Linked DNA regions of Mus musculus. The protein of the gene in region 3 binds, or shares a complex with, the protein of the main gene of each other region. Links are inferred from orthologs where the notes say so. Each region holds a gene or a part of one and is shown on either strand. Other genes may lie near its edges.

What was found.
Region 1: Brd8 (region 3) and Mbtd1 share a complex: the UniProt entries of both Homo sapiens proteins name them as parts of the nuA4 histone acetyltransferase complex. The link is inferred for Mus musculus from reciprocal best matches to the Homo sapiens genes BRD8 and MBTD1.
Region 2: Brd8 (region 3) and Ing3 share a complex: the UniProt entries of both Homo sapiens proteins name them as parts of the SWR1-like complex. The link is inferred for Mus musculus from reciprocal best matches to the Homo sapiens genes BRD8 and ING3.
Region 4: Brd8 (region 3) and Anp32e share a complex: the UniProt entries of both Homo sapiens proteins name them as parts of the SWR1-like complex. The link is inferred for Mus musculus from reciprocal best matches to the Homo sapiens genes BRD8 and ANP32E.
Region 5: Brd8 (region 3) and Epc1 share a complex: the UniProt entries of both Homo sapiens proteins name them as parts of the nuA4-related complex. The link is inferred for Mus musculus from reciprocal best matches to the Homo sapiens genes BRD8 and EPC1.
Region 6: Brd8 (region 3) and Morf4l2 share a complex: the UniProt entries of both Homo sapiens proteins name them as parts of the nuA4 histone acetyltransferase complex. The link is inferred for Mus musculus from reciprocal best matches to the Homo sapiens genes BRD8 and MORF4L2.
Region 7: Brd8 (region 3) and Vps72 share a complex: the UniProt entries of both Homo sapiens proteins name them as parts of the nuA4-related complex. The link is inferred for Mus musculus from reciprocal best matches to the Homo sapiens genes BRD8 and VPS72.

The regions. Positions count from the first base shown.
Region 1 is NC_000077.6:93,884,554-93,889,003, forward strand, and holds the start of Mbtd1 (MBT domain-containing protein 1), read left to right. Parts: upstream 1-1,617; 5' UTR 1,618-1,842; coding exon of another isoform or gene 1,843-1,863; exon of another isoform or gene 1,864-2,520; intron 2,521-4,450. Other genes in the region: Utp18 (U3 small nucleolar RNA-associated protein 18 homolog), read right to left, coding at 781-1,104. UniProt on the Homo sapiens protein: Chromatin reader component of the NuA4 histone acetyltransferase complex, a multiprotein complex involved in transcriptional activation of select genes principally by acetylation of nucleosomal histones H4 and H2A.
Region 2 is NC_000072.6:21,970,018-21,973,796, forward strand, and holds part of Ing3 (inhibitor of growth protein 3), read left to right. Parts: coding exon 1-90; intron 91-1,089; coding exon 1,090-1,291; intron 1,292-1,793; coding exon 1,794-1,832; intron 1,833-3,565; coding exon 3,566-3,682; 3' UTR 3,683-3,779. UniProt on the Homo sapiens protein: Component of the NuA4 histone acetyltransferase (HAT) complex which is involved in transcriptional activation of select genes principally by acetylation of nucleosomal histones H4 and H2A.
Region 3 is NC_000084.6:34,600,713-34,604,491, forward strand, and holds part of Brd8 (bromodomain-containing protein 8), read right to left. Parts: intron 3,173-3,779; coding exon 2,995-3,172; intron 2,065-2,994; coding exon 1,960-2,064; intron 1,536-1,959; coding exon 1,491-1,535; coding exon of another isoform or gene 1,422-1,490; exon of another isoform or gene 463-1,421; intron 1-462. UniProt on the Homo sapiens protein: May act as a coactivator during transcriptional activation by hormone-activated nuclear receptors (NR). Isoform 2 stimulates transcriptional activation by AR/DHTR, ESR1/NR3A1, RXRA/NR2B1 and THRB/ERBA2.
Region 4 is NC_000069.6:95,927,803-95,932,282, forward strand, and holds the start of Anp32e (acidic leucine-rich nuclear phosphoprotein 32 family member E), read left to right. Parts: upstream 1-1,454; 5' UTR 1,455-1,794; coding exon 1,795-1,848; intron 1,849-4,480. UniProt on the Homo sapiens protein: Histone chaperone that specifically mediates the genome-wide removal of histone H2A.Z/H2AZ1 from the nucleosome: removes H2A.Z/H2AZ1 from its normal sites of deposition, especially from enhancer and insulator regions.
Region 5 is NC_000084.6:6,445,821-6,449,599, reverse strand, and holds part of Epc1 (enhancer of polycomb homolog 1), read left to right. Parts: intron 1-342; coding exon 343-695; intron 696-3,779. UniProt on the Homo sapiens protein: Component of the NuA4 histone acetyltransferase (HAT) complex, a multiprotein complex involved in transcriptional activation of select genes principally by acetylation of nucleosomal histones H4 and H2A.
Region 6 is NC_000086.7:136,738,454-136,742,781, reverse strand, and holds the start of Morf4l2 (mortality factor 4-like protein 2), read left to right. Parts: upstream 1-1,429; 5' UTR 1,430-1,572; intron 1,573-1,626; exon of another isoform or gene 1,627-1,836; intron 1,837-2,887; 5' UTR 2,888-2,977; intron 2,978-4,328. UniProt on the Homo sapiens protein: Component of the NuA4 histone acetyltransferase complex which is involved in transcriptional activation of select genes principally by acetylation of nucleosomal histone H4 and H2A.
Region 7 is NC_000069.6:95,120,921-95,123,709, forward strand, and holds the end of Vps72 (vacuolar protein sorting-associated protein 72 homolog), read left to right. Parts: intron 1-341; coding exon 342-486; intron 487-1,458; coding exon 1,459-1,858; 3' UTR 1,859-2,131; downstream 2,132-2,789. UniProt on the Homo sapiens protein: Deposition-and-exchange histone chaperone specific for H2AZ1, specifically chaperones H2AZ1 and deposits it into nucleosomes.

The DNA.
Region 1 (4,450 bases), on a different chromosome or scaffold from region 3:
AAAAGACGTCTTCACATATATTTAAATCCCTTTCTCAAATGTTTTCATTTTCCTCTCCACCAACATACTTTAACTTTACTAGTCTTGTCTCTTTTATCTTGCTTTTTTACCACTACTAACACAAGTTCCAAGAGGGGTTCTTGTGGGATTCCTCCACTGCTGTGTCTCTACCCTTAGTCCAGGGACCAGGTATAGAACAAAAATAATAGCGCAAAGAGCATCAATCAGGAAGGATTTGCAATTGTTACAAGAGCTAGCAACCAAAGAAAGGTTAGAGATGAATACACACTGATCGTTCTCAAAAGCTGGGCGTGGGTATCACCCCGCGATGTTATTAAAATGCAGCTTTACGCCTTCTGCCCACGTATTGGTTCCATCCACTACGCGGAGTCGCGACAGGTGATCAAACGGTCACCCCTGTGGTTCCAGCAGAGGGTGTAAGAGCCCGAAGATGAGCGACTCTACTTTGCAGACATCCTTTGGCAAACCAAGCCGACAGTTGAGCGCCTGCTGGATGCGAAGCGCCGCAGCCCCTTTGGGGCGGAGAAAGGCAGCGTCCCCGCCCTCGCCAGCCAGCAGCCCAGAACCCGAGGCGAAAGAGCCGGACGGCGCCCCTCGGCGCCCGCGGTCGCCGGTCCCTCCCACCTGAGCACTCGCCGCCACAGGTCCCCCCCACCTCCAGGCTCCGCCCCCGGGGCCTCGCCTCCCGCCGCGCGCCCCGCCAGAGCGTGTGCCCGCTCGGCAGGCAGGCAGGCGGGCAGGCAGGCAGGCCTTCCTCACCCGCGAGCTCCGCAGCCGCTGCAGCAGCGCGTCCTCGTCGTCCTCGACATCGCCGAAGACGAGCTGCTCCAGGCAACGCTCGGCGGCCGGCTTATCGTCCTCTAGCGTCAGGCGGTTCCGCTGCCGGAGCCGGCTCTCCTCCTCCTCTGCCGCCGCCGCCGCGGATCCCGCGCTAGGGGCCGCCCTCGGCTCGGCCGGCTGTGTCCGTTGGGATGAACGGGCGGCCTTTGCGGGCGTGCTGCCGCTCCCGGGTCTGGCTTTCCTCCCCGGCGTTGCGCCGGCTCTCCGGTCTCGTCTCGTCCGGCTCTTGCGTTCGGGCGGCATCCTCAGGGCTGAGGGGAAAACGCCGACGTTCACGTGGAGTACCACTGCGCATGTGCCGGGGCGGCTCGCTCTTCTCCTCGGCCCGGCCCCGGGGAGCCGGAAGGAGTCTGCGCCGCCGCAAGCCACGTGACCGGCGCTCGCGCGCTACGTCACTCCCACTCCGTCCGGCGGCCCCGCCCCATGTGGGAGTTCCTCAGGGAAGGCCGATCTTCCGGGTGGAGGGGGAAGCGGCGTGACTGGAGTGGAAATTTTTCCCAACACAACTTCTCGGAGGCAACATATTGGAAGGGACTCGGGGAGGCCGGAGTCCAAATGGAAGTGGCTGAAAGAAACTTCTCGCCCTGCTGATTCTGAGCCCCGCGTCGTGCCGCGCGCCCTCAATTACCTCATCGACTTGTGGTCTTGGTACGGTCCTTAGAGTACGGCGCCTGCCGAGGGTCCCACGCTGGAGGGGAGAGAGGAGGGTACGTGGGGGAAGTGGGCCAATCGGGGCGCGGGTCACGGCGCAGGCGCGCTGGGGAGGGAGGGCTATGCTAATGTTGTTGATATCCTGGGGCCACCCGAGTTAAAAGGGGGGAAATCCGGGGGCTGCCACTGCTGTCGCTGGCCCTGGCCCAGCCGGGGGTCCCCCCTGTAGTCGCCGCAGTCCCGGGGAGAGGCACCGGCCCCCTGCTCGCGGGGGGGGAGGGGGCGCCGCGGGCTCGGGGAGCACGGACGGCCCCTACCCATGAGGCCCTGATGGAAAACACAAAGGATCTGGTGAGAGCCGAGCGCAGCGGCCGCTTTGTGTGCCAGGTTTGAGGGGGGGGGGCACGCCTGCGGCTGCCCGGCCCCCGGAACGCCGCAGCTCGGGGACCCCACTCGCGGGCCTGCTTCTTCATCCCACGCCCCCTCCGTCTCCGGAGCTCCCCTCCCCCTACTGGCCGTTAAACGTTCAGGGGTTCCCCTCCCCCCCTCAACCCCTGACTTAGGGTTCTCTTAGGGAGAAAAAAAAACATAAGAAAGTTTTTCCTCTGCTCCCTCCCAACCCCGTTCTGCTTGAAGGGAAAGATTAGATAGGAGACTTTGCCTTTTTTAGCTGCCAAGGGTGGGAGAGTGGTTTCTCGGGGGTGTGGGGGCAGGAGCATACAGAGTTTCGGGGCTTGGCTGGAGACGGAGCCCACCATTGTAGAGCCAGCGCCGAGAGGCATTTTGCACGTGGAGGTGCTGATACTGAAAGGGGGCGGGGTGGGCACGTGTGGGAGGGAGACGTAGGAGTGGTATCGGGGAGTCAGCCGCCAAGGCTGCTACTTGAGGGTTCCAAGTCAGTGGGCTTCCACCATCCGTACGTTCTCCTTTGTGAAAAAGAAATCCTGACATTTCAGAGTCGGAAGAGACACTAGAAGTCACCCAAAGCAGCCCAGCTTCTGACGAGTGGTAGGTAGTCTGACCTCTACTTAACCCTACATCCATATACCACGCACTGCAGCCTAGGAAAGCACCTTCGGTTTCTTTCAGTCTCTGATATTCACTTGCCTGCCCTTATTAGACCCTTCAGTCTCATTCATGTCGTGTCCTGGTTAAGTTGCTCCCTTTTTTACTTCTCAAATTTGTTCTCACATCCTCCTCACCCACCCACTGCTCATTGGCCTATATTTTGTATGCCAGGAAAGAACATCAGGGAAGTGGAGGGAGGGGGATGGGGAGAGTAAAGAGATGGTAAGGGCCAACTGAAAACTTTGCTGGGTCGGTATCAAGTGTGCTGCTTCCATGACTAAAGATGGTTGAAACTATTCCCTGGGAAGCCAGGGAACTGCTATGTGGGGGTTTCATGACTGTTTCACAAGTAGTCCTCTTTGCGATGAGGACATTTTTAACACCATATCCTTGGTACTGTCAATGTACATTATTTGCCTTTTGCTAAATCACTTTTTCTAAGAACGCGTAAAATTGGGCCTGGGGGAGGAATAGTACTGAAACTAATAAATACAATACTTGGAAGATACATGATCAAAACTATTCCTTCTCATCATTTTGACTCATGGTCTTTGCAAACCCATGCCCCCTCCAAAAGGAAGGCCCTTTCTCACAAATGCTTCTTGTAACGTTTATTTATTTATAGGATAGGATGCTGTTGGGGGGTGGGGGCGGGGGTGGGGGTGGGGGATCAGAGAACAGGTGGAGGTAGTCATCTTAACTTATGCCATGTGCGAACCAGGAATCAAACCCAGGTCATCAAGATTGGGAGCAGACACCTTTAACCTACTAAGAACTTGCTCGAACCTGCCTGTCTTCCCCTACCCCCACCCCACCCCTCATGTGTGTAAGTGTAAGAATTCTTAGACTTGAAATGTTTGTTACAATTTATTGTTTACTTTTGACTTTTTAATCTTTTTTTTTAATTTATTTATTATATGTAAGTACACTGTAGCTGTCTTTAGACACACCAGAAGAGGGCGTCAGATCTCTTTACGGATGGTTGTGAGCCACCATGTGGTTGCTGGGATTTGAACTCCAGACCTTTGGAAGAGCAGTCGGGTGCTCTTATCCACTGAGCCATCTCAACAGCCCGACTTTTTAATCTTTTACCCCTTACATTAATATGCACCAGAACTTAGCACTTAGTAGTTAACTTGCAAATATATATTGGCACCCACTGCTGTGCTTAACTCCCAGGAGTTGCTCCTGATACTGGTAAAGAAAAGCAAGCGTCTTCCTGTTCCCCAGTCTGTGGTAGAGGCTGGTGGTTTGCTCTTGTGTGTTTCAGACTGTTTACCTCACACCAAGGAGTGTTTAGAAAGAAAATAGCTGGCTTTTTGCACTGTCTCCTCTGAATAACAAATAGCTTCTATTTATATGGAAGCCCATATTGAAGTATTGCAAATGCCTTGCAGATTAGAGCAGATGCTGTCGCAAATAAGTGACTGTTCTTAATGTCTCTGGTGAGCCAGGGTTTCTAGCCATTTTCTTTCAGGGCTATTCACTAGTGTTTTAGCATGGATTTGAATCCTAGCTGTAAAAACTTAGAGCTATTTACGCACCAAAGTTTCAGTCAGTATCGCCTTCCAAAGTTTTTTCCTGCTAACTTTAAGCATGAACTGTCATGATAAAATTTGACTTTAAAAGCATTTGCATGCTAAACATACTAGACAGGAACAACTGGTTTTATTTTTAAAGAGGTCATTACTCTGTTTTTTATGGTTAGCTATACATGGATCTCATTATCTGTCTTCCAAGATATTTGGGTGTTTCCCTCATCCCTTAGTTACTTTTGTAAATAAAGACAAAGCAAATTATTTTAAATTGTGTTAAAATACAGCATTCAGACTCAGAATTGCAGTTTATGAGTAAAAACAGCATGTTAATG
Region 2 (3,779 bases), on a different chromosome or scaffold from region 3:
TGGCTACTCCTCCTCATCGGCACTCATGACAACCTTAACCCAGAATGCCAGTTCCTCCGCCACGGACTCGCGGAGTGGCAGGAAGAGCAAGTAAGTTTCCCATGGCAGTGTGTGTCTTTGTTCAGGGTTGTTGTGTGGAGCTGTATCCATACATCTCCAGGGATTAACCACAGCAGGGTACAGTGATCCAGGCTAAACACTGGATAGGCAGTTGGCTCTCTGCACTGCCTCACCTTGAAGGCAGGAAGGAAGTCTTTCAACTGTTAGAGTCATTTGTAATTGTTCTCAGTTAGTATGTAAGTGACTTCTTTTTACTTTCTTTTGTTCTTTCAGATAAATCATTTTGTGTCACTATTCCTATTTGTAGTTTAGGTGTTTAGAAACCCTGTTGTCTGAGCTGAAGGAGGAAAAAAAGGTGCAAATGAGAGACCAAAAGAGTTAGTTATATAATAATGCATTTTATCTTTATTTTAAATGTATTACTTCTCTACAAAAATCTCCTGAAAGAATGATCAATGTAAAGTCTCCACAGAACTATTATACATCTTAAAATTGATATGAATTGCCCACATTTAGTTGAACTCCTTATAATAAATTTCTGCATGTTCTCTGGAATAGAGTTGGTGGTAAACAGTTGTTGAATTCTGATACTCTCAGATCCAGCTATACTTGATAGGCATAGGACACATGCCAACTGATGTTAGGACTTTGCCAAATACTTTTCTATATTTGTACTTAGGTTTTGATAAGAACTCTTTAATTTACTGTAAAAACATTAACAGTGTGAGATGGTGTAACTATTATTCTTGAACACTACCAAAAATTTTAAGTCAATGGTAGATAGTAACCTTAATTTAGAAATTATCTTTAAAAGTTGAAACATTTTAAGAGAATTTTCTTCTATTTATTTTAAATAGAAGATTTTAAGAATATTTCCTTCTTAAAGGAACTTATTCTCCAGAAAACAAAAATTGTAAACCTAGGGTCAGACCTCAGCGTGTCCTTTCCTTCTGTGTCGGTGACGAGGAGTCACTCTCGGGGAACCGCCCCAGTGAACAAATGCAGCTAATCTGCCTGTAATTTTTTCAGAAACAACACCAAGTCTTCAAGCCAGCAGTCGTCGTCCTCCTCCTCCTCGTCGTCCTCTTCCTCCTTATCTCTGTGTTCATCGTCTTCAACTGTAGTACAAGAAGTTTCCCAGCAAGCAACTGTAGTGCCCGAATCTGACTCCAACAGTCAAGTCGATTGGACTTACGACCCAAATGAACCTCGGTATTGCATCTGTAATCAGGTAAAAACATCTACTGCGTGTCTATAAAAGTGTAGTCTGAAGAAACAAGAAAGAAAACTGTTTTAAAATCAGCACATTTTTATGCTAACTAAAATCAAGAATGGTTTACTTATAATTTTTGTCTTATAAAAGTAGTATACTTGCTATAAATACCAAGAATCATGAATTACGTGTAATGCCAACTTTCCCATACAACCTATGGTGAGACATTTGATGTCACAACACATGTACCCTGCATGCATGATGTAATACACCACTGGCCCTGTGGCCTACACAGCAGAAACTCCTCCCTGTGATGGTGCTAGAGACTGGGAGACCCGTGACGAAGGCGCTGGTTGACTAGCTACCTGTAAGGCCAGTCTGTGAGTTTAAAGGCAGTGCTTTTCTACTGAGTATTTATGAATCAGAGAGAAGAAGATCATATTGTGCGGTTATGCAATGTGCCAACTTCTTAAATGCTTGTAACATACTTGTAATGTTTATCTAATTTTCTTTGAACCAGGTATCCTATGGAGAGATGGTGGGATGTGATAACCAAGATGTGAGTATTGCATTTTCCTATATTGGGATGTAAAAAGGTGTAGATGACTGAGTATTTGTCTTATTAATTCTATTTCCCAGTTTGGCAATCAGGTTTTCATTTGGGATAACTACATTATCCTGATGAAAGCATCTACATGGCTTTAATGATTTTCCTGCTTCAGTGTTTCAAGGTGGCACTACTCGTGTTAGGTTCAGATTAAATTCACAAGGATTACTGTTGGCAGTTCGAAGTGCTTTCTTTTCTTTCCGCCTAAGATACTGTATTTACCAGAGTCCTGGTTGTTTATCACATTGAAGAAGTGAAACTAAAAGGATGCTCAGGGATAATTAAGACCTAATGTGTGGTTATTTCCCTCGTTATTATAGCATTCGGCATTCTCTCCACAAGGGGCTTGGACTGTACAAGCCATCTCTGATGGGAAACTGAGAGGAGATTTGAGAAAGGACTCCTGCTTCCTGTGCTAGGAAGGGTATTAGTTACTTGATAAGAACACCGTGACAGAAAGCAACTTAAGGCAGGGAAGGGTGTCTCTTGACTTACAGTTCCAAAGGGAACACAGTCCATCTTGGCAGGGCACGCATGGCAGCAGGAGTGTAAGGTTGGCCTGGTAGTCAGGAAGCCACCTGATTCTGTTTCACCCACCCAGGGCAGGCAGAAGGGAGGCAGCAAGTACAAGTGGAGGCAGGGTTTGAAACCTCCAGTCCACCCCAGTGAAGCACTTCTAGCAAGGCACCCTGTCCTAAAGGTTCTAGAAACTTCCTAAACAGTGCTACTAGCTGGGGACCAACTGAGCTTATCAGGGGAATTTCATATTCAAACCACAAAAGGGATTTAATTTTGGATAAAGATGCATGTTTGATTAAATACTGTTTGATTGTCTAGGGATTTTGGCTCATTCCTTAACTGCCCTACAGCAGTTTTGTACCTGCTACTCCCTTTTGTACCTGTTGTACTTCAAAGGAGTAGCATGAAACTTGTGACCTTGGTGACACCAGTGGTGTCAGAATTCTGATATTAACAAGAGTCACAAGGACAGTTGTGTGTGTTCCTTCCCTGACAGGGTGGGTGCACTGTGCTCTTGAGAAGGGCACAGTCCCTCCCCAGCTGTCCCGTGCAGTCACTTGTGTGTGTATGTGGGGAGGTGTTTTAAAGCAGTGTCCTCTGGGGTCCCTGTAGTTCCTCCAGTGCTGTTGTGGGTATCAAGCCTTCCTGTGGAGTGAAGAATTTTTTAATATTTCAGAGAGGAGGGTTTCCTCCATATCTCTGGATAGAGCACCAGAAAGGAAACACAGCCAGTTGATGGCTTTAGTTACAGCTAGCTCATTCCACTTCCAGAGAACAATTATGGCTGGATATTTTTAAGTCTTTTACATGTTTTCCTTCTTCATGTAAGATTCATATTCTTTATTCTTTGGAAGATGGCACCGCCTGGCGGCTGTCCAAGTTGATGGCAGCAAATAAATGTCCATTCTTTAGTGCTCAGGTACTAGAGTCCATGACGTCTCTCTTATCAAAGAAGCATCCTTTTCCTGGGTGTCCATGTTTTCATCCATGAGGCACATCTGTCAGACTCAGTAACGTTTAGTCACTGCCAGGGTCCAAGAAATCTGATCGCACAGACCTAAGTTTGGTTAAATGAAATACTGTGTGTCCTAAGCATTTTTTTTATTATTATTATCTGTTCTTTAGAAATACCAACTCCCCTTTTTTTTTTAAATTTTCTCTTCCAGTGTCCAATAGAGTGGTTCCACTATGGGTGTGTTGGCTTGACCGAAGCGCCGAAGGGGAAGTGGTTCTGTCCGCAGTGCACCGCTGCCATGAAGAGAAGAGGCAGTCGGCACAAATAGAGAGGGACTCTATTGTCACTGCAGGAAGGAGGAACTCCAGCTCGCCATTTTATACAGGACGCTAGGAGGAAAGACACGAGGACGAAGAAGCAGCTCA
Region 3 (3,779 bases):
AGGCTTCATTCCATCTGCTGCTCTCTCCCTGTAGCCCAGATCCTTCCTCTTGTGCAAAACTCTGCTGTCTTCGATAGATACAAGATCCTATTAACCAGCCTTGCAATAGCCAGCCACTCGAATGAGGATCCAGTCACTGTTGCAGGCCAATAAGAAAGAACAGAGATCACGGTGTTCTTCTGCCCGTGGTACAGCTCTACAGGCAAGATGAACTAGTGAACACTTTTGCTGGACCAGACCAGTTTTGCATTTCTAATATGCAAGGATTAAAAAATTTTAGAACACAAGTTGCCAATAGCCAACAGTAAGAATAGAAATAACACCTTGCATTTGTGTAAGATTTTAATTTGTTTTCAAGTTAGTTTCATAACTTATTTTACCCTCACAACATCCCTGTGAGGTAGGCTGGACAGGTATCTCAATCTTACTCTTTTTTTTTCAATTATTCTTTTTTTTTGTTTTAAAGACTTGTTTTCATTTTATATGTACGAATGTTTGGCCTACATGTGTATATGTGCACCACAAGTGTACAGTGCCTGTGAGGGCCAGAAAAGGGCCTTGGATTCCTTAAAACTGGAATTACAGGCAGTTGTAAGCCACCAGGTGGTTGTTGGAAACCCAACCCAGATCTTCTCAGAGCAGCAAGCGTTCTTAACTGCTGGGTCACCTCTCTAGTATTCCCACATGTTTTCTTTTGAGACAAGGTCTTACTCTGTGTACTACGTATGCATTGATTCTGCAGGCAATTCTCCTGCCTTTCAACTCATAGTTACTTCTATCACATAGATGGAAAATTAAGGCTCTCAAAGGTTATCCAGTGATCGTAGAACCATAGTTTTTGAGCAAGGTCTTTCCCTCACTTCATTGCTCTACCATGAACAAGGTCAGTCTTTTAACTCATGGAATAAACAAACAAAAGCCTTGGGGCTAGATCTATTGTGTTTATCTATAATCCATAAGCTATTATTGTATCTGGTGGTCACTATTATTGTATGTGGCATATGTATGGGAGCACACATGCCATGGTGCACATGTGGAGTTCAGAGGACACCTCTGTGGAGCATTCTTCTTCTACCTTCAGTGGGGTACTGGGAATCAAACTCAGGTCAGCAGACTACCATGGCAAGTGCCTGTACCCACTGTATCATCTCACCTGCCCTTGCTGCTCTGAGCTGTCTTCCATTGTAAGTTAAGAATTGGTAAAAAGTGGAAGCAAGAAATGAGGAGCAGGTGCATCCTAGGTCTTTACCCCAAGAATATTTCATAGTCCAATCCAGTGATCTTGAAAGTTGCCCCTCCCAACCCCGCCACACTCACACAAGCAAAGAGACCAGAATGCAGAAGACAAAGAGTTTCCTATTCAATGGATAAAAAAAGAACTTCAAGACATTGCCACAGTCTGCATGTTGGATTTCCCTCTGTCACCCAGGCCCAGCAGGAGCTGAGAATCTTTCTGGCAACATCACCACTTGCAGCCATTCAATACTTACAAAGAGAGAGAGAAGGAAGGCAGGAGAGCCCATGGGGACACTGTCCTGTTAGAGGACAAACAAATACTGATCAGGTTCCACAGAAACTCTCAGCCACAAGTATCCCAAACCTCAGGACAGAGACAAAAGCACCATACACACAAAACAAAGACAAAATTTTAAAACTCAAGAACAAGAGGAAAGAGATCCCACAGCCATCTAGCCGTATCTAGCAGCCAACTGCTGTGAACTAATCTATCCCCAACCCCGACAGCACTCTCCCGGAGGGTTAATAATTCACTCACTGGGCTCTAACTATCTCCCATGGAACTGGTACTTTCAGTCACAGCAGCTTTCTTCAACAGTTAGACAGAAGCAAGCCATCGCCATTCTAACATCCATGCAGATACCACTGGCTTACAGAAGGTTAGCAGTATTAGAGTAACTTAAGGTTCTCTGGATGTTTTGAACTTTATTTTGGTCTGCTCACCTTCTCTGAAGCATCTTGTTTTCGGGTAGAGTCTCTCCCCCGGAGACTTTTAGCACTGATTCCAGACTCAGATGTTTGCATAATCAACTGTGTGGCCAAGAATTGCTGTAGGGAGAAGAAAAACGGGAGGCCATAAAGATCCAATCCAGTAGGAAAGAACTAACATACTTCACATTTTATAAACAGAACTTATTCAATTCTTTTTGGCTTACTAAAAGGCTAATTTCTAGCTATTCCTAAAGAACTTAGAAGTGAAAAGAAGCTTTAAAATAAGCCAAAGAGCCTTCAGCAATTAAAGTCACATGGCAAACTTAACAAAGATACACTACTGCTTCCAGATCAACATCACAAAGGGTGTGCAGTGTTATAACTGTAAGATTGAAGTAGACTACTTGTGATAACTAGGGGTTATAAAGTCTTGGTTGAATACATGTGCCACAGTATTTTATGTAACTAATAACACTAGCCCTTTATACATTGATCTGAAAACTTCCAATGGGGCTAGGGATACAGTTTAGATGGACAGTGCTGGTCCAGCAGACATGAAGCCCTGGGCTTGACTCTAACGTCGTCCGTCAGCTGGGTGTGTGGAGGGTGTGACGTAGCTCACAGGCACCAGATTTGTGACCTGTGAAGCACTGGTTTATTAGATTCTTGCCAACAAGAACAACAGCAACAACAAAAACCTTCAAAAACGGAATTCATTTGCCCAAGAAAAATACAATTTTTTAAAAGACGTTTATTTTATGTATATCTTCAGGCACACCATAAGAGGGCATCAGATCTCATTACAGATAGTTGTGAATCACCATGTGGTTGCTGGGAATTGAAATCAGGACATGTGTAATAGCAGTCAGTGCTCTTAACCACTGAGCCATCTCTCCAGCCCAAAAAGATAGAATTTGTATCATAATTCTTCCATCAAACCAATCAAATCTATAAAACTTCAGTAAGAAATAAAAATATTTACCAATGAACTCATCAATTCTTCTCTGCATTTCATCCCTACTGAAACAAAAATGAGCATCAATGTACCTGGATCTGTTCCAAGACATCTCTCTGCATCTCTACTGCCATGTGATAGACATCATGGTCTGAGCTATTGTACATAACAGCATTCTGAAACATCAGCATGATGTCACGCTGAAACTCAGCTGTGCTTCGGATCAGTCCATTTTCAATGTTTTTCTTTATAGTTGACAAATCCATAGGCCTAAATAAATAAATAAATAATAAAGGGGTAAGTGGCCACGGAGGAGGATTCACTTGGATTCCCAAGCACAGTATTACTATACAGTCCTGTTCATAGATACCTTCAGTATCAGCTACCAAGATTTAAAAGCTAACCCATTATCCCAGAGCTTATACTCAACTCCCCAAAAAGCCAATCTGCATAATAGGCATCAAGAAAAACAATGATAGGTGCTCATTCTTTTACACTATTAATGACAACACAGTCACTGCAATATAAGCCTTTAACAATCACAGCACTGGGCCGGTGGTGGTGGCGCACGCTTTTAATCCCAGCACTTGGGAGGCAGAGGCAGGCAGATTTCTGAGTTTGAGGCCAGCCTGGTCAACAAAGTGAGTTCCAGGACAGCCAGAGCTACACAGAGAAACCCTGTCTCGGAAAAACAAAACAAAACAAAACAAAAACAAACAAACAAAAACCAAAACAACAATCTCAGCACTGGGGAGGCAGAAGCAGAAATTACTCACTTTCTGTGAGTTTGAGGCTAGCTTGGTCTATAGAGAGTTCCAGGTCAACCAGGGCTATATATAATGAAACCCTGTCTCAAAACAAAACACCACCACCAACA
Region 4 (4,480 bases), on a different chromosome or scaffold from region 3:
AAAAAGATAAAAATAATATTTTGAAGGGAGAAAGGATTTGTTTTAGTTCACAGATCTTGGTATAGTTTATCACAGAAGGAATTGCAACACATGGCAACTAAGAAGCAGAGAAAAAGGAATCTAAAAGAAATAATTACATAGTTTCTGTTGTTATTGTTATTTTGTGACAGAGGCTGGCCTTGGATTTACTTAGTAGATGACTGTGGATCTGCCCCTCTCTCCCTTCTGAGGGCTATGATTAAAGGAATGTTGGATCTTTCAGGAACATTAAACAGAAAAAAAAAGTTTTGGTTTTGTTTTTAATTTACTTATTTTGTTTTTGCATATCCGTGTGTTTTGCCTGCACGTACGCACACACAATGCATCTGTGCCTGTGGCCTGTGGAGTCCGGAGGATGCCTCTGAATTTCCTGGCATTGTAGTTATGGGTGATTATGAGCCACTATATGGGTGCTAGAAATCGAACCAGGGTGGAACCTCTGCTAGAGGTCATTGCCTCTCCATCCCCTCACACTTAAAAGAACATTTTAAGTAGATTCCTGTAGGAAAGGAGAGGCCTTGCTGGACAGTTTCTGATAATTGTGTTTCTTTAGGCCTGTGTTATTTTTCCTCTAAGGTGTCAATTTTGTTTGTTTGTTTTTCTGTCTTTTGGAAACAGTCTCTCCCCACCCCACCCCCCTTTCTGTGTAATCCTGGAACTCGCTCTGTAGACCAGGTTGGCCTCGAATTCAGAGATCTGCCTGACTCTGCCTTCCAGTGCTGGGATTAAAGGCGTGTGCCACCGCGGCTGGCTCTAATATTCCAACTTTTTAGCAGTGACAAATGACCTCAGTATCAACTCCTCCTGGACAGTTTTATTTAAAGGCTTCTGACTCAACGTGCTAAACTCAACTCTGCTTTCAGAGCCGTTCCCCCCTTTATGTTGGAAGTTAAAATACCTTCTTTATCACGCTCTGGTTCTACAAGCAGTTCGGGACGGGGAGGTGTCACCAACACGCTGTTCGCGCTCGCGCCCCTGCTTACACTTTAGCCGCAGAGCAGAAGGCTTGTGCTTTAAGACCACCGAAAGCTCTGGGTGCAGTGTGTTGCATGACCCACTTACAACTTGGGGATGCCAACGACGCCTTTTCCCTTCCTTTTAACCCTGAAGCCAGAAAAACCCCAAACAAACAAAAACAAACCCAACAGACACCCAAACCGTCCTACTACCAAGGGGAAAGCGCGCCAATCACACAAAGAAAAGGAGGGGGGCGACTGGGATTCAAAATCATTTCTCCGGGACGTACATCCTCCCGAACCTATCGGAATTAACTGCGCGCCTAGTCAGAGCCAATAGACACTGAGTTTCTGGTCCAGGTCCCCCCTAAAGACAAATGGACAACCCTCTAGCCCAATGGAGTCGTGTGACGCTAAGGACTCGACCAATCCCGTTGGGAGGTGGGTGGAGTGTAGGCTAGGGGGGGTTGGCGGTGCCGTGTCATGGAGGCTCAGTCTCGCAGCAGCCATTGAAGGGGAAGGAACTGCGGGCGCGCGCGTGTCTCTCTCCCTCACTCTCTCTGTGTGAAAGTGTGTGCGTGCCCGAGTGTGCGCGCGCGGGTGTGTGGACTCGGAGGTGGGGGCAGCCGAGTTAGTCCCAAGTCGTCGGACTCCATTTGCTATTCTTTTCTTTCTCTCCCACACCCGTGTGGTAGTGGGCGTTCGTCTTTGCGTCTCTTTTCATTCATCTCCAGACCTTTAGAGGTTTTTTTAGGGTTGGGGATAGTGGGGAGGGCAGGCGAGGGGAAAGGAGGAGGACATGGAGATGAAGAAGAAGATTAACATGGAGTTGAAGAACAGAGCCCCGGAGGAGGTGAGATGACTCAGCCCCCATAGTCCCCTCCCGCCCTGGATCGTGAGGGGTGGGCTTCGGGGGTCCGGGTGGGTGCGCAGGGCGGGCTGGGAAGCGCGCCCCCACTTGGGGTGGAGGCGGGGTGTTTATTTTAAGTTTTAAATCACCAGGCTCTTGTGCTTAAAATGGCGAAGGGCTTAAGTTTCTAGGGGCATTTTCGTGAGCGCGCGGGGGCTCAGCCCCATGGCGTCCTCGCAGACTGGTGGCCCGGCATCGCGGGCGCGGGCGGCGTGGGCGCGACCCCCGGGTCCTCGCCACCTGCGAAGTTGGTGTAACTTTCCCGCGGCGCCGCCACTCGGCCGGCCGCGGCCCCGGGTGTGGGACTCGCGCCGATCTGTGCCCCACGCTCCCTCCGACCGTGCCCGCTCGCGGGCAGCACGCGCCGCGGCCGGGGCCGCAGCGGAATCCCGGGACCCGACGGCGCGGGCCGCGATCCGCGTGGCGCGCGGACTTTTACGCAAGCTGGAGGCTTGTGCGAGCCTCGCTGCGCTCAGTGCGGTCGTAGGGAAGAGTCCCGAGTCTTGAAGGGGGCCCGGGAGGCGTCGCCCCGACTCCCCGCCGTCGGATTCCCTAGCGGTTTACGCCAGGTCCGCGGGTCTGGAGATTGGCCGCGGCGGGCGGGGACCAGGCTCGCTGATTCGCGGCCGCGGCGTGAAATCGAGGGACAAGGGGTCCGCGCCGCCGTGGTCCCTTGACGCCCGCTCAAAGGCGGGCATCTGCCGGGCCTCCACAGTTATCATGCAGAGCCAACGGTCCCTGAGCCCTGCTGATTTTCGTGGTTCCTTTGCGGGTTTTGGTGACTGGAGGCGAGAGAGAGGTGGTGGAAACATTGTTGCTGTGAGGGTTATCTCTGGGAGCAATGGAAGTTTTCTAGAGCTTCTTAGAAGATTCTAGAAAAACTCAAAAGTTGAAAGCTGTCAGCAGGACGTGGTGAGTGATATCTGTAATTCTGTATATCTGTAAATCTGTACTTCTCATATCAAGAAATTCCCAGCCCTTGGGAGGGAGGCCGAGGTAGGACGCTGGTTGCAAGTGGGACTCTGTCAAACAAGGCAAAGCAAATCAAAACAAGCAGTTTCTCAGAAGTCTTGTGGAGCAAAAATGGGTCGTCCCCTCCGCCCCATCCTTTCACCTTCAATTTGGAGGATTGCTTGACATGCCTTTTTGCAGTCTCTTTCCTTTGGTGTGGTGTGGTAACAGTTAAGTTTATATAGATAGTTTATAAGGCACTCCCATTTATTTACTTTCTCCTTGGGAAAATGTAAGCTGGGTTGTATTGTTCTAGAATCCAAATTAGCAAATAGGAGTAAAGTTGAAGAGCTGGGATTCTGACACTAGGTCTACAAAACTCTTGCTGAGCTCTAAGAAGTCTCTGGTTAAGACCAGAATCCAAAGGCTTAAGAATTGCTTGGCGTGGTAGGCATTTAATTCAAGGCAGAGGCAGGCAGATCTTTTTGAGTTTGAGGCCAGTTTTGAGTTTGACTACAGCTGTCTCAAAAACGAACAGCCAGACGGTGGTGGCGCATGCCTTTAATCCCAGCACTCGAGAGGCAGAGGCAGGTGGATTTCTGGGTTCAAGGCCAGCCTGGTCTACAGAGTGAGTTCCAGGACAGCCAGGGCTACACAGAGAAACCCTGTCTCGAAAAACCAAAAAAAAAAAAAAAAACAAAAAACAAAAAACAAAACAAAACAAAAACCAAATGAACAAGTCGGAGATAGTGTCCCACGAGCTGTTAATCCCAACAGCCAGGAGGCAGAGGCAGGCAGATGGATTTCTGTGATTCAGAGACCATGCTAGTCTACAGAGCAAGTTATAGGACAGACAGGGCTACACAAAGACCATGTCTTAAAACAAAACAAAACAAAACCAAAACCCAAACAGACTTATCAAAATGTCCCTACCTGACACTAATGGTGTGACGTAATGCAAGTCATTTTGCATACCTAGGCTTCCCTGAGGCTATAACAGGGATATCTTTGTACCATTTCTGCTCATTTAAATAATGCCAAAGTTACACTCAAGTAGGGAAGATGACAGTCCTTGTTGCCTTTAAATAGACATTTTTTTTGCTCTGGGAATAGAGAACCAGGGTTTGCTTTTGTGATTACATCTATTCAGGTGCATAGGGTAAGTTTTGTTACTATATCTCAGATCTGTGGCTCAGTGGTTATGAGCCACCACTCACAAGGTGGCTTACAAACTCCCAGGAGTCCAACTCCTTTTCTGGCCTCTGAAGGCACTGGGCACATATGAGGTTCATATGAGGAAAAATGGATACACATTAAAAAATAAATAAATAAATTTACTGCCCAGAGATATTAAGAAATCCCCTTCTGGGCCGGGCGTGGTGGTGCACGCCTTTAATCCCAGCACTTGGGAGACAGAGGCAGGCAAATTTCTGAGTTTGAGGCCAGCCTGGTCTACAGAGTGAGTTCCAGGACAGCCAGGGCTACACAGAGAAATCCTGTCTCAAAAAATCTAAAAAAAAAAAAAAAAAAAAGAAAAAAAGAAATCCCCTTCTGAGCCAGAGAGATGGCTCAGGGGTTACCAACACTGGCTGTCCTTCCAGGTCTTCCCAGAACCAGAACCCAC
Region 5 (3,779 bases), about 28 Mb from region 3:
ATCCAGCATTGAGATTTGAGGCTAAAAGAACCAAAGCCAACAAGATGACTCAGTGGGAAGGAGCATTTGCCACCAAGGTGACAGCCTGAGTTCTGTCCCCAGGACTCACGTGGTGGAAGGAGAGAATCAACTCTTGGGAATTGTCCTCTGGCTGCTGCATGCATGTGTGCTGTGCTATGTGCCCTATGCCGTGCACGCACAGTGTGAAAGAGTCAAATGCTGCCGTGGTGAACTTGGCAACTTTTAACTATTCAGTGTACTGGTGTTCAGCTTTAGGGGAAAGCGTTCGGAACAGAAAGGAAGAAACTTTGATGTAATCTCTGGTGTCTGCTCCTTGTACAGGGTCGTGCTGGACAGAGCGCATTCAGACTATGACAGTATGTTTCACCACCTGGATTTGGACATGCTTTCCTCACCACAACCTTCTCCAGTCAATCAGTTTGCCAATACCTCAGAACCCAATACCTCGGACAGATCTTCCTCTAAAGACCTCAGTCAGATACTAGTCGATATCAAATCATGTAGATGGCGGCACTTTAGGCCTCGGACACCATCCCTGCCTGACAGTGACAGTGGTGAACTCTCCAGTAGAAAGTTACACAGGAGTATCAGTCGAGCAGGAGCAGCACAGCCTGGGGCCCACACGTGCAGCACCTCCACCCAGAACAGAAGTAGCAGTGGCTCAGCACACTGTGGTACGTTCATCTGTGGTACCCATTGCTGTACCAGGGCGGGGCCTTCCATCTTGTTGAGGATGTGGTGTTTTATTCTCATACTGAGATGCTTAAGGATTTCTTTGAATTCTCCTCAGTAGTGCTGTTGCTCTGTGAGTTTGTGTGTGTGTATCTTTCCTTAACCACAGCCAAAAAGAGGTGGTATGTGGTATGTTAATACATATTTAATGTTTAATTTGTTACCTTAAGGCAGCCCATGAACCACAAGATTGATTTTCAAATAATAAAATAAAAGGGACCCCAAGTTGTTAGTGGTATGTACTTGAACATCTAATCCGGTCTGCTTAAATTTTGTGGCCAGTAGTCAGTAGTTACACGTGAACTTACACTGACACTCGTTCAGAATAAAGACCAGAGAAGCTGACTTAATATTTTGGAGACATTTTTAGATAATCCCTACAGGGTGACCAAAACACTGGAAACAGTGCCATGCCCTGTGACTTTCTATTTTAAACTACTGAGTCCACATTATCTGAGTTGTTAAAATTATAAAAGCTTACTGTCAGCGTGGCGCAGCAGATTAAGATCCCGAGTGCCAAGCCTGACAGCCTGAGTTCAGTGCCCAGGACCCACACGGTAGAAGGAAAGGGTCCCACTCCTTCAGTTTGTCTTCTGGCCTCTGGACATGTGCTGTGGCATGTGCATGCACACACTCATACATACATACAATAAATGAAATCTTTTGGGGTATTTTTACTGGTGGTAGTTGTTTTGGTAGGTATTCTGAAAAAGGGTTTCACTGTAGTTCTGGCTGTCCTGAAACCACTTTGTAGGCCAGGCTGGCCTTACACTCAGAGATCTGCCTGGTTCTGCTCCTGAGATTAAAGCAAGCACCACCATGCCTGGCTTATGTTTACAATATTTTAAAATCATTTCATTAAAGTTCTTTTAGGATGATTTTAATACAGATTTTCTTTTTTTTTTTTTTTTTTTTCTCTTTTTTGTTTTTTGAGACAGGGTTTCTCTGTATAGCCATGGCTGTCCTGGAAGTCACTTTGTAGACCAGGCTGGCCTCGAACTCAGAAATCCGCCTGCCTCTGCCTCCCAAGTGCTGGGATTAAAGGCTTGCGCCACCACCACCCGGCTAATACAGATTTTCTAAAAGAGGATTGTTTCCCTAATTACATAATTAGGTTACAATTAAAGTGTTTTTGATTGATAGATAGATAGATATTTATTTACACTTAAAATGTTATCCCCTTTCCTGGTTTTCCCCTCTGAAGACCCCCTATCCCCTCCCCTCCCCTCCCCCCTGCTCACCAACCCAACCATTCCTGCTTCCTGGCTCTGGCATTCCCCTACACTCAGGCATAGAACCTCCACACAGGGCCAAGGGCCTCTCCTCCCATTGATGACCGACTAGGCCATCCTCTGCTACATATGCAGCTGGAGCCCTGAATCCCACCATGTGAACTCTTTGGTTGGTGGCTTAGTCCCTAGGAGCTCTCGGGGTACTGGTTAGTTCATATTGTTGTTCCTCCTATGGGGCTACAAACCCCTTCAGCCACCTGGGTACTTTCTCTAGCTCCTCCATTGTGTACCCTGTGCTCAATCCAATGGTTGGCTGTGAGCATCCACCTCTGTATTTGTCAGGCACTGGTAGAGCCTCTCAGGAGACAGCTATATCAGGCTTCTGTAGTTTGGGGGACTTTAATGATTGTAATTCCACTAATTTTACTACTCTTTTTCTGTCCTGGATAGTCCTTAAAGTCAGGCTGAAGAGCTGGTGTAGTGAAGGCTTAACTGACACAGGTGTGGGGAGTTCAAAAGTGGAAACTCTTAATTGGTTCCCCAAAAATATTTTTGAAGATGTATGAAATTTTTTTGAGATTTTTATGGAGAAAGTAGCTATGTTCTATCAACCCACATCATGTCGCTCCTGTGGTGGAGACACTGAAGAGCATGACAGACCTCCAGATTGCATTTCAGTCTATGGAACGAGGTGTGCTGGCATGACTTACAGAGGCATGTCAGTGCCAGTTGCAAACTTTGCTGATTTGTCTCCCAAACATCATTAAAAGGTAGACATTAGCAAAAGTTACCCAAAAAAGCCTTTCATAGTTATGCAGCTTTTCTCCATAATCATCATTTGATAGTAGGGCCTTTTTAAATAATATGTTTATTTTCAAATATACTTAGAGAATAAATGCCTACAGGCTACCATAGAGTTACACTCTGTTTTCTTATTGGGATAGATATTCATGAGATCTGAGGCCCTCTCTGTGGCTCTACAAATTATGTCATATGTGCATTTAACATAAGTGAGGTCTGCTAGCTGCCCCTGAAGACAGAAAAGACAATCCAGCTATTTGCTTGTTACATGGGAGTCGAAGTGTTCTCCAGAGACAGCCTAGATCTGCCGAGGGTCTCATGAGTGTCAGCCAGGTCCTCTCCAAAAGCATCAGCAGGCTAGATCTTAGCTGTGCTGACTCTGCCATCCTGTCAGATGGACAGGAGTCAGCTTCAAATGTAACCACTTCTGATTATTCAGTTACTGACTCTGATTGAATCGAAACTTACAAGTGATGCACACCCCCACCAGGCTCCTTTTCTAAGTAGTTATTAGTGAATTGTATACACATTTTTTAATAGGAAATTCCAACTGAAGGTACCAGGAGTGTACTCACTTCCTCAAAGAGTGCCCAGTTGTAAGGCTTCTCACTGCTCGGGGTCCCTTCAGCTTGCTACTCAGTCTTGGCCATTTCACAACTCTGCACCCATGGAGGGTGTTCTGAGTAGGGTGTGAGGTAGCCTCCAAGAAGGTAATGTAAATGCTGTGTCCCCTTTGTCCTGTGTGTCAGAAGGGGAGCTTGGGGAGACTTAGTGATGGGGACTTTGAATGTCTAGGGCTAGATCTACATAGGGGTAGGATAAATTGTTTTTAATGATCGTTAGTTAATACATGATTTGGACTGGTTTCAAATAGTTTTCTGGGCTTTTATTAAGCTATAATAGCATCTTTTCAGTGTTTGCTCAGTGGTTGAGAATCCATCTGTTCTGTGCATTTGAAATTGGAGGGTTATCAAACTACAATAATTAGATGAG
Region 6 (4,328 bases), on a different chromosome or scaffold from region 3:
ATCACTGGGGAATTTAGTTGCCTATGTTTTCATTAAAATTTTGTGTGCCAATTTAGCGATAAACCTGGTGAGGGGGCATAAGGGAGATTCGCAGTAAATTTGGTGAAGGGCAAAGGGGAGGCCTTGGGGACAGAGAGGAGGGGGTGTACAACTGGAAACTTGAAAGAAACGCCCTTTTACGTTACTAATATAGTTCTGAATCTTAACCATGGAAGAAGTTTATTTTGGTGGACTATAATGTGGGAATAATGATCATCTCTAGGGTCTAAAATTAAATCGGACTGGGTGGAGTGGCGCATGCTTTTAATCCCAGCGCTCGAAGGCCGTGAAGGGACAGGTGGATCTCCGAGTTCCAGGCCAGCCAGGGCTACCTAGTTACAACAGGCCTCAAAAACAAACAAAAAAACGAAAAAAGGCAAAGAAAAGAAAGGAATTTGATTAAATCGGCAGGCCTTTTCTTACAGAAGCCCTTTCCTTTAGATACTAGCACTGTCCTAGTTATTCTCAGTTTTATTAATGCAGTTTGCAAACATAAAAAAGGCAGAAAAATCCACCAAAATGAGGGACCTCGCCTACGCTCACGCGCGCGCGCGCACACACACACACACACACACACACACACACACTCACACACGGCCCCTCCCGTCCCCACCAGGGCAGCACGCCTGCGCACACCCATCATCGCCAGCGCCACGAGGGCGGCTGTGCGCCCACACCCACACTCCACAGCCACGCGAGCCTGCCTGCGCCCGCGTGCGCGCAGACACCCCGTTTCTCCAAAGCATCCAGGCATCCGCCCAGTGGCACTCACCACCCTCACACGCCTCACACCTCAAAACCTTCACCATTCCTTTGCCTTTGGTTTTTTTGGGGGGGCGTTGGTGTTTTTTTTTCCTCTCTCCCCAGGTCCGCGAGTTGCGCAACAGGCTCGGGGGCGTGGCCCCGGGTCTGCCCTCGCTCTTCCCACTCGCGGGAACCTTAGCTCATTTCCGCCTAGCCTGTTTCCGCCAGCCACGTCGGCACTTCCTTTCCCAGCGGGGCGGGGGCGGGGGAGGGGAGCGGACCCACAAACCCATAATGCCTCCCTGCAGGAGAGAAGGCGAGCGCGAGGGGGGGAAAAAAAAAACCCACGGTCAGGGGAACTCTGGGTCGTGAAGACGGGCCACGTGAACGCGCTGCCCTATAGACTTCTGACCCAACGGCTGGAGCGCACTTGGAGGGCGGGCTAAGATCCTAAAAGAACCATCGCCATTGGCGGGAGCCCTCACTGAAGAAGGATGCTAATTGGTTTGCAGTCGGCCCTAAGCATGAAGAAGCAGGTTGCTAGCACCCGCCTTTACTGCGGCTGAGTGTCACTGCTGACGTGGGGGCGGCTGTCCAATCATCTGGGTATGGAACATTCTAAAACTCAGACAAGACGGCTAGGATTGGCTGATGGGCTAAGCCCGCCTCCAGGGTGACGTGTCTGCCTATGGATATCAGTTGCCAGAGAAACCTGGCTTTACTATGGCGGTTGGAGGAGCAGCAGTGATCACACGTCGGCTGCTGGAGAGAGCTGGATTCTCGTTTCAGGTTTCGGGGTGGGGGTGGGGAGGAAGGGTAGATGATTTCCTCTTTTCTTCTTGACTTATGGATAGGATTAACTCGTGCCTTCTCATTCAGGAAAAGCGGAATTCGTATTCCTGCTCGCCAACGCCCAGCTTGGGCAAGGCTCTTTTCTGTGTCTCGGTTTCCATGTTTGTAAAATGGTAATAGTAGCTATCTCAGACGCGGATTCAGATGTGCCTAGTAAAATAGTGCGTGTGAGGCATTCGGTGTGAAGCCTGTCCCCGAAAGGTAGTAGCAATTGTTACTAAAGATATTTCTAGAGGCGATGAAAAATTTTAAATTACGCAAATTTGCTCGATATCGTATCTTTTTCTGTACATCATCCTCTTTCTTAGAAGAAATTATGACGACAGGCATTTATTAAGCCTTCCTGATAAAAATAATTGCTAGCTCATAATTGCTAATAGAATGTGGGGGTCGGAATTTTCCCACATTAAGTCAAAAAGAAAAAGGATGTAGGGGGGGAAAGCGATTGAGAACGACCTCCTGAAGCACATGCGAGGAGTAGGCCTTGTTTGAATCCTGATTCGAGCACACCAATTGTAAAATTTTCTTGAAGACGTATCGGGGATTTTTAAATGCAGGATTAATATTCTTCAATGAAATCGGTGTCAAATTATTAATTTTTTTAATGCTTATGGTGGCGATGTGGTTCTGTTTTCAGAATGCTTTATTTTGTGGAAAGAAATAGAAATGCTTAGGGATTAAATGATGTCAGAAAATGGCTTCAAAATCCATGGATGACTAGGGTCTGCTTCAGGATAATTTCAGCGATAGACAGCGAGGGGAGGGGTATCATCAGGACCCTAGATTAATCATTTAAAGTGAGGGGTGGGCAGATGGGGTTTCCTGGATTTGTCTTTTTTTCCCATGGTATATATTTGAAATATTCTGGAATTCTGAAGTCATTTTTTTCCCGATAGCTTAAAAAACCGTGGGGGGGGGAGCAGTGGGTGGGGTTACAGATGAAACAAGATGGCCTTCAGTTGGTAATTGTTGGAGCTGGATGAAGGATTCGCAGCCGTTTGTACTGCTGTTCTTTTACAATTTTATTTATTTCACATTATCCTTAATAGAAATTAATTAATTTTTTTCCAAAATTGATAAACATACAAGAAAGTACATTTATCTGAAAATAAAACTACAAGAAAAATAGAATTTCTACATTATCAGCTTTGATGTCCTTTGTGTGAGATAAAATTTTATTTACTGATGGAAAGGAAAGTCACCATCTCATATCTTTTTATGTCCTTTTCCATCTCTTTGTTTGACCTTCTAGGTCATCATCAGAAAAGCTAAGTTTGCTATACAGTAAGGATCAGGAGATCTGACCCTGGTTGCAGAACCATTCCTGGTTGCAGAATACAGGGTAAGTGCCTTCCTTCTGGCCTCAGTTTACAGACCAGCTATATCACAACCTTCTTAGATGTGTAGCAGTATTTTGAAGATTAATAAGCTGCCATCTGAGAAAGTGCTTTAAATTCTGAAAAGGGAAGGATAAACAATATAGTCATGCGTAATCTTATTCTCTTAATTAAAAATTAGTGCTCTATGAAGGCTTCACACTTCCAAATATTACATTATTTTTCTCTACAGCAAATACAGATTTGATGGATTTGATTGCTGGCTCTTCGACTTTCTGTGTAATTCTGAGCAAGAAACTTCCTTTGTTCCAAGATGTCTTCATAAAAGTATTTCCTGTAATAATACTTATATGGCTTTAATAGTCATGAAACATTTTATGTATATATAAAAGCACATTTTTGTAGAGAAATAAATAATATTTTCTTGGAATTATTTTTTTAATTAATATTGTTGGTTTCTCTCATTTTCCAGAAGCAGCCATTAACTACTAGGACTGACTTCTGAAATTAAGACTTCTGGTTTTTCCAATCAATCTTTAAAAAATAGCTTTAAGGCTATTTCCTTATGAGGAAATTTCCAAGAACTATAATTTTAGCTACCATATCCAGCATGCTAAGCAATCTTTATGTAATTTTCCTCCTTTGTTCAGACTGGAGACCATCAGTTGGGTTGCGAGTGTAGCCCAGTTGGTAAAGTTGCTTCCCCAGCATACATGGAGCTCCAGGTTTGAATCACCAGCACTGCCCAGACCAGGCCCAGACAGTGGCACATGCTTACAATCTATTAGAGGATAGAGGCAGGGGGGTCAGAAGGTCAAGGTTGACCTCAGCTATCTAGGAAGTTTGCATCTAGCCTGGGATATGAGATCTTTCCTCAATGTTCATTTTTTTAGACATGTAGAATGTTCCAGTATCCATATGAGAAAGCTGATATGTACTTGATTTTAGGCAGAGACCAAGAGATGAAAACATGGTCTAATTAATGTGCCCCCCTCACTTTTAAAGGGCTTGTGACACACACAAAAGTACAATTGGAGTCTGGTTACATGAACCTATGAAAGGAAGGGGTGTGCCTCAGTCTCTTCACAGCGACATTTTTAAAGGAATTCTATAATTGCCTTAATTTCTCTCCTTTGTAAGGACTGTGTTTAAGGGGAAGGCAGTTTCCTGGCAGAGAGGCAATTTAGAGAATAAGTGAGAGTTGATCCATAGTAGATCTATAGATACTGGCAAAGCAGAGGCCAGAGAGATCTGAAATGGGAAAGCCTCAAAGAGAAGGCCCTTGCCTTGGACCTTTGGGACTATCTGAGTACAGTGGTACTGAAGTAAAAGGTGAAAGGATGTAAAATCCATGAA
Region 7 (2,789 bases), on a different chromosome or scaffold from region 3:
AGTCAGGCAGATCTCTGAGTTCCGGGAGAGCCAAAGCCACACAGAGAAACCCTGTCTCAAAAAGCCAAAAAAGAAACAAAGAAACAAAATCACAGGACAGAGCCCAGAGAGCTGTGATAGCTCAGCAGGTAAAGCAGTTGGTGACAGCCTGAGTTTAATTCTTGGAATCCACACGATGGAAGCCGAGAACTGACCCTAGCACATTGTCATCTGACCTCTCCACACATGTGTTCATGTACATACACTCTTGAAAATACATATGTGTAATTTAAGTAGATGACAGGCCAGAGTGTGGGAAAGGAAAGCTGACCATTCTGTCGTTTCTCCCTTCGATCCTGCAGAGACCTATGAAAGGCTGGAGGCTGACAAAAAGAAGCAGGTTCACAAGAAGCGGAAGTGCCCTGGGCCAATAATCACCTACCACTCAGTGACGGTGCCGCTTGTTGGGGAGCCCGGCCCCAAGGAGGAAAATGTGGACGTGGAAGGGTGAGTGAACCCCGTGCCCCCGGCTTCTCTAGGAGTTTACTTTTCTCACTGCACACATTCAGACCTCAGCTCATTCCTTCCCTCTGCTGGCTGCCAGCACCAGGTAAGTAGTCTCTGAGCGGGGAGTGAGGATGATCAAAGAGAAGACAGCAGACACAGGACAAGAGAGGGGTCTGTCAGTGAGTACTGTAGTAGCCCAAGTGTAATGCGTGTAGCCTTCTGATACCGCAGTGTCTCAGGATATAAAACTAACAAGCTAGCAGAAACAATTGCTGCCATGTATATAGGGTATCTGATCTCATCCTGAGGCCTCCCTGTTCCTTCCTCCGAGGTTAACAGAATGTTTACCTCTTCCTCTCAAGCCTTACGTGTATCTCTTCCTAACGTTTTATGTCAGCAGGCCAGGAAATCTGGCAGCAGACCCTGACCTGCCTTGACTCTGCCTGGCGGGCAGACTTTTACTCTACTTGAGAAGCAGACAAATGGCTCTGACACTTCCTGTTGTTTTGTTTTGAGTTGGTCTTACTCTGTAGCTCTGGCTGGCCTGGAACTCCTTATATAGCCCAGGCTAGTATTCATGATCTACCCGCCTCTTTCTCCTTAGTATTGGGGTCACAAATGTGAAGCATCATGCCCAACTTTTTATTTTATTTTATTATTTGTTTGTTTGCTTATTTATTTATTTTATTTTAATGTATATCAGTGTTTTGCCTGCTTTGTCTGGCCTGGTACCCATTGAAGCCAGAAGAGGGTGACATATTCCGTGTAACTGAAGTTACAGACGGTTGTGAGCCACTGTTTGAGTGCTAGGCCTCAAACCTCTATCCTGGGAGAGTAGCCCAGCTCTTAACTGCTGAGCCATCTTTCCAGCCCCATGGCCTGGTAAATACTGAGGTCACAGCCAGCAAACCTAGCCTACCACCTTCCTTTGTCTGTCTCCGCAGCATTTTGTGACTTTTCTCTTGCCCTCAGCCTTGATCCTGCTCCTACAGCCTCTGCACTGGCTCCACATGCTGGGACCGGGACTGGAGCTGCCGCTGCCACCCCTCCTGCTCACTGCTCTCGCACCTTCATCACGTTCAGTGATGATGCAACGTTTGAAGAGTGGTTCCCCCAGGGGCGACCCCCGAAGGTCCCGGTGCGGGAGGTCTGCCCAGTGACCCACCGTCCAGCTTTGTACCGGGACCCTGTTACAGACATACCCTATGCCACTGCTAGAGCCTTCAAGATCATCCGTGAGGCGTACAAGAAGTACATCACTGCCCACGGACTTCCACCCACCGCCTCGGCGCTGGGCCCCGGGCCCCCACCCCCCGAGCCACTACCTGGCTCTGGGCCTCGAGCCTTGCGTCAGAAGATTGTCATCAAATAGAGACACCTGACCCCTAGACAGTCCCTCTCCTGACCTGGCTCTCCACTCCGCCCTCCCTTCTGCCAACCTTCGCCCTTGTTTCCCTCAGTTCCTCCCTAGTTCATTTCATTTACTTGTGCTCTTCATTTTTTTAATCTAATAAAATGGTAAAATCCTTTTTGTCTGATGTGTAAGGTTGGGGCAGAGGCAGGGGGATTTCTGAGTTCGAGGCCAACCTGGTCTACAGAGTGAGTTCCAGGACAGCCAGGGCTAAACAGACAAATCCTGTCTTGGAAAAAAAAAAAAACAAATAAATAAATAAATAAACCACAAGTTCTTGCTAATTTATCCAGACTAATTTCAGACTCCTGGGCTCAAGCAAGCCTCCCATGTCAACCTTCCAAGCGCTGGGCCTAGAGGGGTAAATCACTGTTCCTGCTCTGTCCTTTTAAGTAGCATGTATTTACTAAGTAGTGGGTGTCATAAAGATGCCTGCACTCATGTCTATCATTTTTATTACACTTACCTGGGTTATCCATATTTAACTCTCTTAGTCTGTCTTAGTCAGGGTTCCTATTCCTGCACAAACATCATGACCAATAAGCAAGTTGAGGAGGAAAAGGTTTATTCAGCTTATACTTTCCACATTGCTGTTAATCACCAAAGGAAGTCAAGCAGGTCAGGGAGCAGGAGCTGATGCAGAGGCCATGGAGGGATGTTACTGGCTTGCTCAGTTTGCTCTCTTACAGAACCCAAGACTACCAGCCCAGAGATGGTCCCACCCACAAGGGGCCTTTCCCCCTTGTTCACTAATTGAGAAAATGCCTTACAGCTGGATCTCATGGAGGCATTTCTTCAACTGAAGCTCCTTTCTCCATGATAACTCCAGCCTGTGTCAAATTGACACATAAAACCAGCCAGTACATAGTCTCTTAAATACCAGAACAAAATC